Linked DNA regions of Nothobranchius furzeri. The protein of the gene in region 1 interacts with the protein of each later gene in a biochemical or structural test. Links are inferred from orthologs where the notes say so. Each region holds a gene or a part of one and is shown in the gene's direction. Other genes may lie near its edges.

Region 1 (4,062 bases):
TAAAGTTTCATTAATTACAGACACGGATCACTTTTCTTTTGACCGATTAAGTTGTTCACATTATTTATTTGTTTAAAAAGTAGAAACGCATCTAATGGAACACAAAACGTTCCCAGTCACGATGCTCGACACGTTACCACGATTACCAAACGGTCTGGTATTTCTCCGAGGCTCATATGTCGTTTCACTTACAGCTTTGTGTTGAAATGGTTTGAATTTTTTCTGAAATTACATTTTACACCAAAAACGAACAGAGTTCTCAGCTCTGAGGAGCCTCCTGCATCGGTACGGTGAGAATAGCTGGATTTTTATCTGAAGTGTCTTTAATGTAATCATCAAAAATCATCTGCTGGAAATGATTAAACACCAGTTAGCTGAGTGAGTGAACGTATGAAACGCACACTGCTGCAGAGGAGTATTCAGCCCACTTGTGATAACGGTTCAGCCTCTGGGGTGTGTGCGAGCGTCAGAGCAGGCTTTGGCTGCTGATGCACTGACAGATGGGAAACCAGCGATGTGAAGTGGGAGTCATCGCCCAGCAGCTTGCGGGCGAACGATTAGCGCAGCAAGTGGTTAAAGCGCTCCAGATTTTCAGTTTTATTTCTGATCAGAGATGCAGGTGGAACCTCCAGTCAGAACCGTCCCATTTGAACCGGGTTCTGCGGTATGTTTGTCCTTGCAGCTGATGAAGGCCATGAACAAGTCCAACGAGCATGTGCTGGCCATGGGGGCATGTTTCAACGACAAGGCCGACTCCCATTTAGTTTGTGTTCAGAACGACGATGGGAACTACCAGACGCAGGCCATCAGCATCCATCACCAGCCACGTAAAGGTGGCTTCTCTCCTCAGTACTCTTGTCTGTTTGACTGAAAACAAAAAACCCCGCTGTGAATCTTGGCTTCACTTGTTTATTTTAATCTGTTCTCCTCCAGTTACTGGAGCCTGCTTCTTTGTGTTCAGTGGAGCTCTAAAAGCCTCGTCGGGATTCTTAGCCAAGACCAGCATCGTAGAAGGTGAGACCTGTAGAAACACCATAAATACTTCCCCTGTGAGAAGTGCTGCAAAACTTTAACGGGTCTCCTTTTTAGATGGTGTGATGATCCAGATCACAGCGGAGACGATGGACTCTCTACGGCAAGCCCTGAGGGACATGAAGGACTTCACCATCACTTGTGGTAAAGCTGACCAGGAGGAGAGCCAGGAGCAGGTCCAAGTGGTCTGGACAGAAGACGACCACAACTTCAACAAGGGGTGAGACTGAGAGACGAGGGAGGAGACCCTTTTGTGTCCCCGCTGGTGTTTTAATGTAACGTCTTCATGGGAACCAGAACCTCTGCAGAACGATGGGACCGAGGTCCAGATCAGCTAAAGTAAATGTAGCTTCTGTTCTCGGAAGAGTTCCACTTCCTGTTGAGTCTTGAAGCAGCCTGTGTGCCATCGCTCTGTCAGAGCTGCTGATGGCGCTGGTATTTGTGTCGCCCAGAGTTTTGACAGGAAACTCCTCTTCATCTTTTCTTCTGCCGTTAGTTTGTGTGTAACATAAATCTGTCTTCATCTCAGCGTCATCAGCCCCATTGATGGGAAATCGATGGAGTCCATCAGTAGCGTAAAGATCTTCCACGGCTCAGAGTTCAAAGCAAACGGCAAAGTCATCCGCTGGACTGAGGTAACACACACACACACACGCACGCACGCGCGCGCGCGCACACACACACGCACGCACACACACAGCTCTGTAAACTAAGGTTTATGAAGGAAATCAGGCCACTGCTCTCACAGAAGAAGAAAGTATCATTTCTATAGCGCCTCTCAAGATAAAAATCATGAGGCGCTTCACAAAAAACAAAAAATGTAAAAATATTTTAAAAAATTAGAAAATGGTTAAAAATATATTTAAAATGAGCAAAAAATAGACAATTGTGGTTAAAAAAATGTTAAGAAAGAGAGAGAGTGAATAGGAAAGAGGGAAATCAGTGGATCCTGAGGAAGGTGGAATAGGTGGGGAGAGCAGAATAGAGAGAGAGTGGTGAAGAAGGTCATACAAAAGCCAACTTGAACTAGTGAGTCTTCAGCTGCTTTTTGAAGGAGTTCACTGAGTCCACTGATCTCAGGCTCAGGGGGAGAGAGGTCCAGAGTCTGGGGACCACAGCAGCAAATGATCTGTCACCTTTGGTCTTTAGCCTGGTGCTGCACAACCAGTAGGCTTTGGTCACTGGACCTCAGGGACCTGCTGGGGGTGTAGGGACTAAGAAGATCACCAATTTAAGATGGTGCTTGTCCATGTAAGGCCCTATAGACCAGAACCAGGATCTTGAAATGAACTCTGAAGTTGACTGGCAGCCAGTGAAGCTGGAGGAGAAGCGGGGTGATGTGGGTGTGTTTGGAGGACTTGGTCAGAAGCCGAGCACAGGCATTCTGAACCACCTGTAGACGGTTCAGGGAGGTTCTGTTCAGACAAGAGAAAAGAGAGTTACAGTAGTCTAAGCGTGAGGAGATGAAGGTGTGGAGAACTGTCTCAAGTTCAGAGCGGGACAGAATGGGACTCAGCTTAGCAATATTCCTAAGATGGAAGAAGGAAGAGCGAACAAGAGAACTGACATGAGAATCCAGGGTGAGAGCTGGGTCAAAGGTCACACCAAGATTCCTGACGGAAGGTTTGGTGTGAGAAGCAAGCTGACCAAGAGAGTCTCTGACTTTGGGAACCAGCTTGTCTGGGGCACAGATGAGGATCTGAGTCTTATCTTCATTCAGCTGAAGAAAGCTCCCAGCCATCCAGGTTTTGATAGAGTCTAAGCAGGTGTGTAACAGCTGCAGCTTAGACATCTCATGGGGCTTAAAGGAGATGTACAGGACCAAACCACCCTCCATCCCAGGAGGCTGTGGGTATACTAGAGGCTAAACTCTGACGTTGCTCATCTGCAGAAATGTGCTGCCTCCTGTAAAGATTAAAAAGCAAATCAATCTTTTCACAGGTTGTCCGTTACTCAAATGCGTCAAATGTCATGATTGCCTTCAGGTATTTTTCCTCCAAAGTGAAGACCAGCCCAACAGCCTGAGCGACCCGGCCGACCACAGCCGGCTGGCGGAGAACGTGGCCCGAGCGTTCTGCATGGCGCTGTGTCCACACCTGAAGCTGCTGAAGGAGGACGGCATGGCCAAACTGGGCCTCAGGGTAACGCTGGATTCTGACCAGGTAGGACAGATCCAGAGACAAGTTACTATGGAGTCCCTGTCGGATGACTTCTCTCTGTTCACCTGTTCAGGTGGGTTACCTGGCAGGAAGTAACGGCCAGCCTCTCCTGCCTCAGTACCTGAGCGACCTGGACAGCGCTCTGATCCCAGTCATCCACAGCGGAGCCTGTCAGCTGAGCGAAGGCCCGGTAGTCATGGAGCTGGTCTTCTACATCCTGGAAATCATCTCCTAGAGAACCCCCCCCCCCCATCCCCCCCATGTCATCTCCCCTCAACCTTCCTCACCTCAGCAGAACCACACAACTGTGGCGTTTCTTCAGTCAAAGCTATGCATCCACCCACCATCTGCTTTGACCCAGAGGCGTTTTGGTGTCTGAGGAAGTGTGAGTGGGTGGGCGGAGCCTCACAGCCACTGCCTAAATAACACCACATGTGGCTATTTGGACAGACCTGCATGCTCCTCAGCTTCCTCCCAAAGTCACAGTCAGCTGGAGGCGCTGAAGCAAAGAACTGTGGGTAAAACTTGCCTCTGTAGCACGAGCACCGTTGCAGATCCATCGCTGGAAACTTTGAGGGGGAGAAACCTACAGATCGCTGGAGGTGGAAGAAGGTGCCTGTGTGGTGATTTTTGTTGTTTTTTTGCACCGTGGTGCTCAGTGCCTACAGCAAAGAATCATCAGGGGGGTCACTTGTCAAGCTTTACTCTTCAGTCACCAAACGCTTTCCGTCATGGCTGCAGACTTGTGTATATTTTTATAAGCAGAGCAGTTCCTACATGTTACACGTGTAGCTTCCAGATCTGTTACAGAAAAGTGACGTCAGAGTCCGATGTCCTGTTGAACTAGATTACTGACACAAAACCCGTTTAT
Region 2 (3,147 bases), on another chromosome or scaffold:
GATTGTGAATCGATTTAAATCGATTTCGAATCGAATCGGCACCCTGAGAATCGGAATCGAATCAAATTGTGAGTTGCTCTGAGATTCACATCCCTAGAAAGTACACACTGCTGTAATGCAAAAATTGTTTTTTTCTAAATCACTTTAAAGTAAGAGTGAGCAGTTTTCTGCTCCTCCATCCTACTGGTTGAAAGTACGATAACAACTGTTGTAAACAACCCAACTGTAGCTAGCACTAATAACAAGCTAACACAAATTTGACCTAACTAATGCTAAAATAAACCATGAAATAAAAAGATCCACACTGTAGGACAAAAAATATTTATAAATACTTATAAATCCAGTAGCAACAAAGCCAGGTCACAATCAGTCCGTGATTTTGTAGCATCCTTTAGCTCCCTCAAACTAGTGTAGGCCATGCTTATGTTAACTCTGGTTGTAGCTCTTTGCTTCATATCAAGAGACATTACTCTTACTTTTACTTCCAGGCTCTGCCATGATGCCAACAGAAAAAGCAAACTTCTTCTTTTTCTGCTTTATATTGATGATTGGCAAACTGAAAATGCTAACCACTAACATTACAGCTAACAGCCATAAAGAAGGTAAAGAGCGCCTCCTAGGACACCTACCTGCTCCACTAAACTATTAAGTGCGGTTTTTGGTCAGCGGAGGGCCGCAGAGTGTTGTCAAAAGCCAGTTTCACATTTGGCCCAGGCTGGGTGGCTCCAGATCAGGGTCCTGCACCGGTAGGTTTTGTTCACACATTCTTTTTAGGAATGTGGAAATCTCAGAGCACATGGGCAGGGAAAAGATGCACTGAGAAATCTGTGATGCCTCCCTTAAGTTAAGTAAACAAAGCGTTGCTTTTGCATTCTCTGACTCTGATATTGCATCCTGACTGCTGTCTGTCCTCGCGCAGGGCAGCATGCAAGCCTCCACAGCGCTCCCTGTGTGTGTGCTCTTCACAGCACGTCTCAGTGACAGAGACAGAGAGCTCCTGCAGCTTCAGTCAGAGGCAGTGTTTACTCCTCAGTTTCCAGAATGATAATGAATCCCACATGCGGAAGCCCCTGCTGGCTGATTTGTCTTTGTCAGTCAGAGGCTTCCCTTAATGGTAGGCATGAATTTGAGCCAGTCAGTCGGTCTGCAGAGGTTGTGTTGGGTCAGTTCAGCCCAAAGCAGCCCGCCTGGGGAAGAGGGCTGAAAATATGGTCGGTGGAGCACGAAAAAAAATACAGGCTACCCAGATGTGAACACAATATACCATACCTGGGCCGGACCGACCCTGATGTGAAAACGGCAAAGCTGGTTAAGTTTACTAAGATAAATGTTAAAGCTTTAGCTTAAAGTAAAATCTTTTTTTTTTTAGTAATTTTCATTTTGATACACCAGAGAAGTCATTGAGATAGGTCTTGTGCATTGAGGAGAGTTTACGATGGTATGTTCTCACCTCTGCAGGTGCGTCATCTGTATGATGGACTTTGTTTATGGAGACCCCATCCGGTTCCTGCCCTGCATGCACATCTACCACCTGGACTGTATAGACGACTGGCTGATGAGATCCTTCACCTGCCCCTCCTGCATGGAGCCTGTGGACGCTGCGCTGCTCTCCTCCTACGAGACCAACTGACACAAGCACCCCCTGGACCACACAGGACCTGAACAAATCCATGGACACTCTAAATACACTAAACATCAACTTCCCCAACTTATATCCTGGATTAGTAAGATGGTGATTTCAAAGCATTGATCGTAAAATAACGTAGGATGAATAATGTTTGTGCATAAAAATTTATAATTATAAATATATGTACGGTGTGTGTGTGTGTACACCATTTCCTCAGTTGGCCTGCTGGACAGGACTGCATCTGAGAAAGGACAGGAGGAATAAAGAACAAGAGCAGGGAGGAGAGAGGAGTCAAAGATGAGTGCAGAAAGCCCGGGTGTGTGCATGAAGCGAGCGACAGAGAAGCAGCTGGAACCTGTGAATATTAACTATCATGACTGAGAAATATTTTTATGTTCTGTTTTCAAATTTGGCACACACACACACACACACACAAACAGAAGCATACTCCCTTCCTTTTACTTTCATTACAAGAATGCAGATTGTTTTTCTCTGTCTGTTGGTAAGTGAAAACTTTCATAACCGAAGGAAAAGTTGATTGGTAGTTGTATTTCCTAAGAAACTGTTACAGGGTTGTTGTAGACGAGACTAGTAGAGACGAACACACAACATAGTAGCACAGACTACCAGGCTCCCTCCGTCTTCTGCACACCTACCTTGACTTGTCTCTGCAGATCTTTCCTGTGAAACGTTAGCTGAATGGTCGCTGTGTCGATTGGCTGTTCTGTGGCTTTGTGAAATCTGTTCTTTAGTTATTTTGCAAATCAACATAAGGACTTCGTGTTGAATCGGTTTACCAAAAACACAGACTCAGCAAAAGGAAGTATGTGCTTCACTCATTCATGTGATGATGCTAAAATTATCACTGATGAGATCTCAGACTACAGGCCAAAGCAAAAAGTCAACAGATGAGCGACACTTTGATCAGAATTTGAAATTTGCAGTACTTAAAGGGATTTTTCAGCTGTTTTTAAGTAGGTTCCTGTGTAAAAGTTTTAAAGAATTACTGACAGAACTAGTTAGTACAGTCAAGAACAAAGTGCACTCTCAGAAATCTAATGTTGAATTTACTTAACCAAGTTATGTCAACTGGTTCCACTAAACCTATTACTTAAAGACCAAGTTCATTGAGAAACTGTTGTTTACTTGTTAGTTTTGAAATATGATTAGTCACTCTTGAGTTTCACATGCAGGCTTATTGTGAAAATAGTCTTCTACCCTTGTTTCCTGCATTAGCCACCAATAAAAAAGATGAAAATACTAGGATTAGACAAGCTCAGATCAACTTCACACTGTCACTTAACATCCGTCATGACTCGCGACGGCTGTAGACGTTTAGTGTCCAGGGAATGGTAGAGAATATCTCGGCTAGTAGAAGCTAACTATTAGCATTAGCAACTTTACCGCATGGGAAAACTCCTCCAGGCTTGTGTTATTTGTGGAGATGAAACATCCGTGTTACAACGTAAACTGAGTGAGTCGAGGAGATTAGATGTCAGAATATCAGAACATAATCCTCC
Region 3 (3,518 bases), on another chromosome or scaffold:
ATACTGTGAGCCAGCGTTCTGGTGCTCCATTTCCTACTACGAGCTGAACCAGCGAGTAGGGGAGACCTTCCACGCCTCACAGCCCTCGTTGACGGTGGATGGCTTCACAGACCCCTCAAACTCTGAGCGTTTCTGCCTCGGATTGTTGTCCAACGTCAACCGCAATGCAGCAGTGGAGTTAACACGCAGACACATCGGTGGGCATCAGCTCTGATTATAACAGATAAAACTGTCTGGTTAACGTCTCTGTGACATCCGTGCTTCTGCGTTTCTCTCTCTCAGGGCGTGGTGTGCGGCTGTACTACATCGGAGGAGAAGTGTTTGCAGAGTGTCTCAGTGATAGCGCTATCTTCGTCCAGAGCCCCAACTGTAATCAGCGTTATGGTTGGCACCCCGCCACTGTCTGCAAGATCCCCCCAGGTGTGTGTCCAGCTGATGGAGTCAGCAGAATCCTTTATAGACTGTGATGAGTTGGGAAAAGATACAGATGAGAGCGTAGAGTGATGGATGGAAACTGGGTTGGTAGCTTGATCCCCAGCTGTGTTGGAAACTATGTAGTGTGTATTCAGTTGTCCATGCATTTATTACTTCCTATTGTAATTCAGTGCTCTTTGGTATCTCCTCCTCCACCCTCGCTTGACTTCAGCTTGTGCAGAACGTAGCAGCTCGTTTCTTGACTGGCACCAGGCAGCGAGAACACATCACACCAGTTTTAGCAAATCTCCATTGGCTCCCCATCCATCTCCGTATAGAGTTTAAGATCCTGGTTTTTGTATTTAAATCCCTCAATAACTTAGCACCTAGCTACTTGTCTGAGCTCATTCACCCGTATGTCCCTACAAGATCCCTCCGATCAGCCGACCAGCACCTCCTACATGTCCCTAGCTCTCGCTGTAAATCCCGCGAGGAGCTCGCCTTTTCGGTTTGTGCACCGAAGCTCTGGAACCACTTGCCCCTCCTGATCAGACTCTCTTTCCCTTTTTAAGTCTCGTTTAAAAACTCACTTTTATTCGTTGGCTTTTAATTCAGTCTAACTTATTCTCTTTCTCCTTTTCTTTTCGAGTTGGATTACTCGATTTTAATGGTTTTAGTTTTTATTTTTGATTGTTTTTATTGTGTGTTTTTGTTCAGCACTTTGGTCGGCTCTCATGCGGTGTTTAAATGTGCTATACAAATAAACTTGGTATGGTATGTAGTGTGTATGGTCAGGAACCTTTTGTGAGAATTAGGTGTTATTAGATGTCTAGATGAATTAAAACTGAGTTATTCTCAGCTGCTGTGCTGCTTATATATCATCTTATCTGTGACATCACCTCTGTCATCATCAACTCAAGGATATCTCCTCTGACTCATCTCTCCTCTCATTAAAAACACAGACATGAGCTCTTTATTTACCAAAGGAGATGTTTGCTCAGGTCCATGTTGGAGTTTGTAGGTTCTTACGCGAATGTTTCATCTCCTAAGTTACTTTCAAATAAGCAGTCTTCTACAGACCGGTTCACACGGCAGGGTACTTCTTGACCCAATTCTCCCCTTCTGAAGATCCCACGGCAGATTACTGTGATGGCTCTGAAGATAATCTTATCGGATATCCTTGGCACTTGTTTAATTTTGGTGGTGGTGGTGGTGGGGGGGGGGGGGGATGGGGGGGGGGAGAAGAAAATATAATTTCTATAGCGCCTCTCAAGATAAAAATCACAAGGTGCTTCACAAAAACAAAAAATGTAAAAAATATGGAAAATGATTAAAAATATATTTTAAATGAGCAAAAATAGACAATTGTGATTAAAAAAAGGTTAAGAAAGAGAGAGAGTAACTAAGAGCATAAAGAGAGAGTGGTGAAGAAGGTCATACAAAAGCCAGCTTGAACAAGTGAGTCTTCAGCTGCTTTTTGAAGGAGACCACTGAATCCCCTGATCTCAGGCTCAGGGGGAGAGAGTTCCAGAGTCTGGGGGCCACAGCAGCAAATGATCTGTCACCTTTGGTCTTTAGCCTGGTGCTGCACAACCAGTAGGCTTTGACCACTGGACCTCAGGGACCTGCTGGGGGTGTAGGGACAAAGAAGATCACCAATGTATGATGGTGCTTGTCCATGTAAGGCCCTATAGACCAGAACCAGGATCTTGAAATGAACCCTGAAGTTGACTGGCAGCCAGTGAAGCTGGAGGAGAAGCGGGGTGATGTGGGTGTATTTGGAGAACTTGGTCAGAAGCCGAGCACAGGCATTCTGAACCACCTGTAGATGGTTCAGGGAAGTTCTGCTCAGACACGTGAAAAGAGAGTTACAGTAGTCTAAGAGTGAGGAGATGAAGGTGTGGATAACTGTCTCAAGTTCAGAGCGGGACAGAATGGGACTCAGCTTAGCAATGTTCCTGAGATGGAAGAAGGAAGAGCGAACAAGAGAACTGACATGAGAGTCCAGGGTGAGAGCTGGGTCAAAGGTCACTCCAAGATTCCTGGCAGAGGGTTTGGTGTGAGAAGCAAGCTGACCAAGAGAGTCTCTGACTTTGGGAACCAGCTTGTCTTGGGCACAGATGAGGATCTCAGTCTTATCTTCATTCAGCTGTGGAAAGCTCCCAGCCATCCAGGTTTTGATAGAGTCTAAGCAGGTGTGTAACAGCTGCAGCTTAGACATCTCATGGGGCTTAAAGGAGATGTACATCTTCGTCTTCGTCTTCCTCCGCTTATCCGGGTCCGGGTCGCGGGGGCAGCATCCCAATTAGGGAGCTCCAGGCCGTCCTCTCCCCGGCCTTGTCCACCAGCTCCTCCGGCAGGACCCCAAGGCGTTCCCGGACCAGATTGGAGATGTAACCTCTCCAACGTGTCCTGGGTCGACCCGGGGGCCTTCTGCCGGCAGGACATGCCCGAAACACCTCCCCGGGGAGGCGTCCAGGAGGCATCCTGACCAGATGCCCAAACCACCTCAACTGGCTCCTTTCGATCCGGATGAGCAGCGGTTCTACTCCGAATCCCTCCCGAATGTCCGAGCTCCGCACCCTATCTCTAAGGCTGAGCCCGGCCACCCTACGGAGGAAACTCATTTCGGCCGCTTGTATCGGCGATCTCGTTCTTTCGGTCATTACCCAAAGCTCATGACCATAGGTGAGGATTGGGACGTAGATCGACCGGTAAATCGAGAGCCTGGCTTTCTGGCTCAGCTCCCTCTTCCCCACGACAGATCGGCTCAGCGTCCGCATCACTGCAGACGCCGAACCAATCCGCCTGTCGATCTCCCGATCCCTCCTACCCTCACTCGTGAACAAGACCCCGAGATACTTAAACTCCTCCACTTGAGGTAGGACCTCTCCCCCGACCCGGAGGTGGCAAGCCACCCTTTTCCGGTCGAGAACCATGGTCTCAGATTTGGAGGTGCTGATCCTCATCCCAGCCGCTTCACATTCGGCCGCGAACCTACCCAGCAAGAGCTGAAGGTCAGAGCTGGATGAAGCTAGGAGGACCACATCATCCGCAAAAAGCAGAGACGAGATTCTCCTGCCACCAAACTCGACACACTCCAC

Evidence for each region. The genes of interacting proteins can lie anywhere in the genome.
Region 2: the proteins of zfyve9a (region 1) and rnf11b form a complex in vitro, tested with the Homo sapiens proteins (2 studies listed by BioGRID). The link is inferred for Nothobranchius furzeri from reciprocal best matches to the Homo sapiens genes ZFYVE9 and RNF11.
Region 3: the proteins of zfyve9a (region 1) and smad3a form a complex in vitro, tested with the Homo sapiens proteins (2 studies listed by BioGRID and IntAct, with this or other methods). The link is inferred for Nothobranchius furzeri from reciprocal best matches to the Homo sapiens genes ZFYVE9 and SMAD3.

Annotation. Positions count from the first base shown.
Region 1 is NC_091751.1:42,024,080-42,028,141, forward strand, and holds the end of zfyve9a (zinc finger FYVE domain-containing protein 9), read left to right. Parts: intron 1-682; coding exon 683-833; intron 834-933; coding exon 934-1,014; intron 1,015-1,089; coding exon 1,090-1,252; intron 1,253-1,561; coding exon 1,562-1,667; intron 1,668-3,017; coding exon 3,018-3,194; intron 3,195-3,264; coding exon 3,265-3,426; 3' UTR 3,427-3,562; downstream 3,563-4,062. UniProt on the Homo sapiens protein: Early endosomal protein that functions to recruit SMAD2/SMAD3 to intracellular membranes and to the TGF-beta receptor.
Region 2 is NC_091748.1:56,811,048-56,814,194, reverse strand, and holds part of rnf11b (RING finger protein 11b), read left to right. Parts: intron 1-1,458; coding exon 1,459-1,630; 3' UTR 1,631-3,147. UniProt on the Homo sapiens protein: Essential component of a ubiquitin-editing protein complex, comprising also TNFAIP3, ITCH and TAX1BP1, that ensures the transient nature of inflammatory signaling pathways. Promotes the association of TNFAIP3 to RIPK1 after TNF stimulation.
Region 3 is NC_091749.1:43,537,976-43,541,493, forward strand, and holds part of smad3a (mothers against decapentaplegic homolog 3a), read left to right. Parts: coding exon 1-197; intron 198-282; coding exon 283-420; intron 421-3,518. UniProt on the Homo sapiens protein: Receptor-regulated SMAD (R-SMAD) that is an intracellular signal transducer and transcriptional modulator activated by TGF-beta (transforming growth factor) and activin type 1 receptor kinases.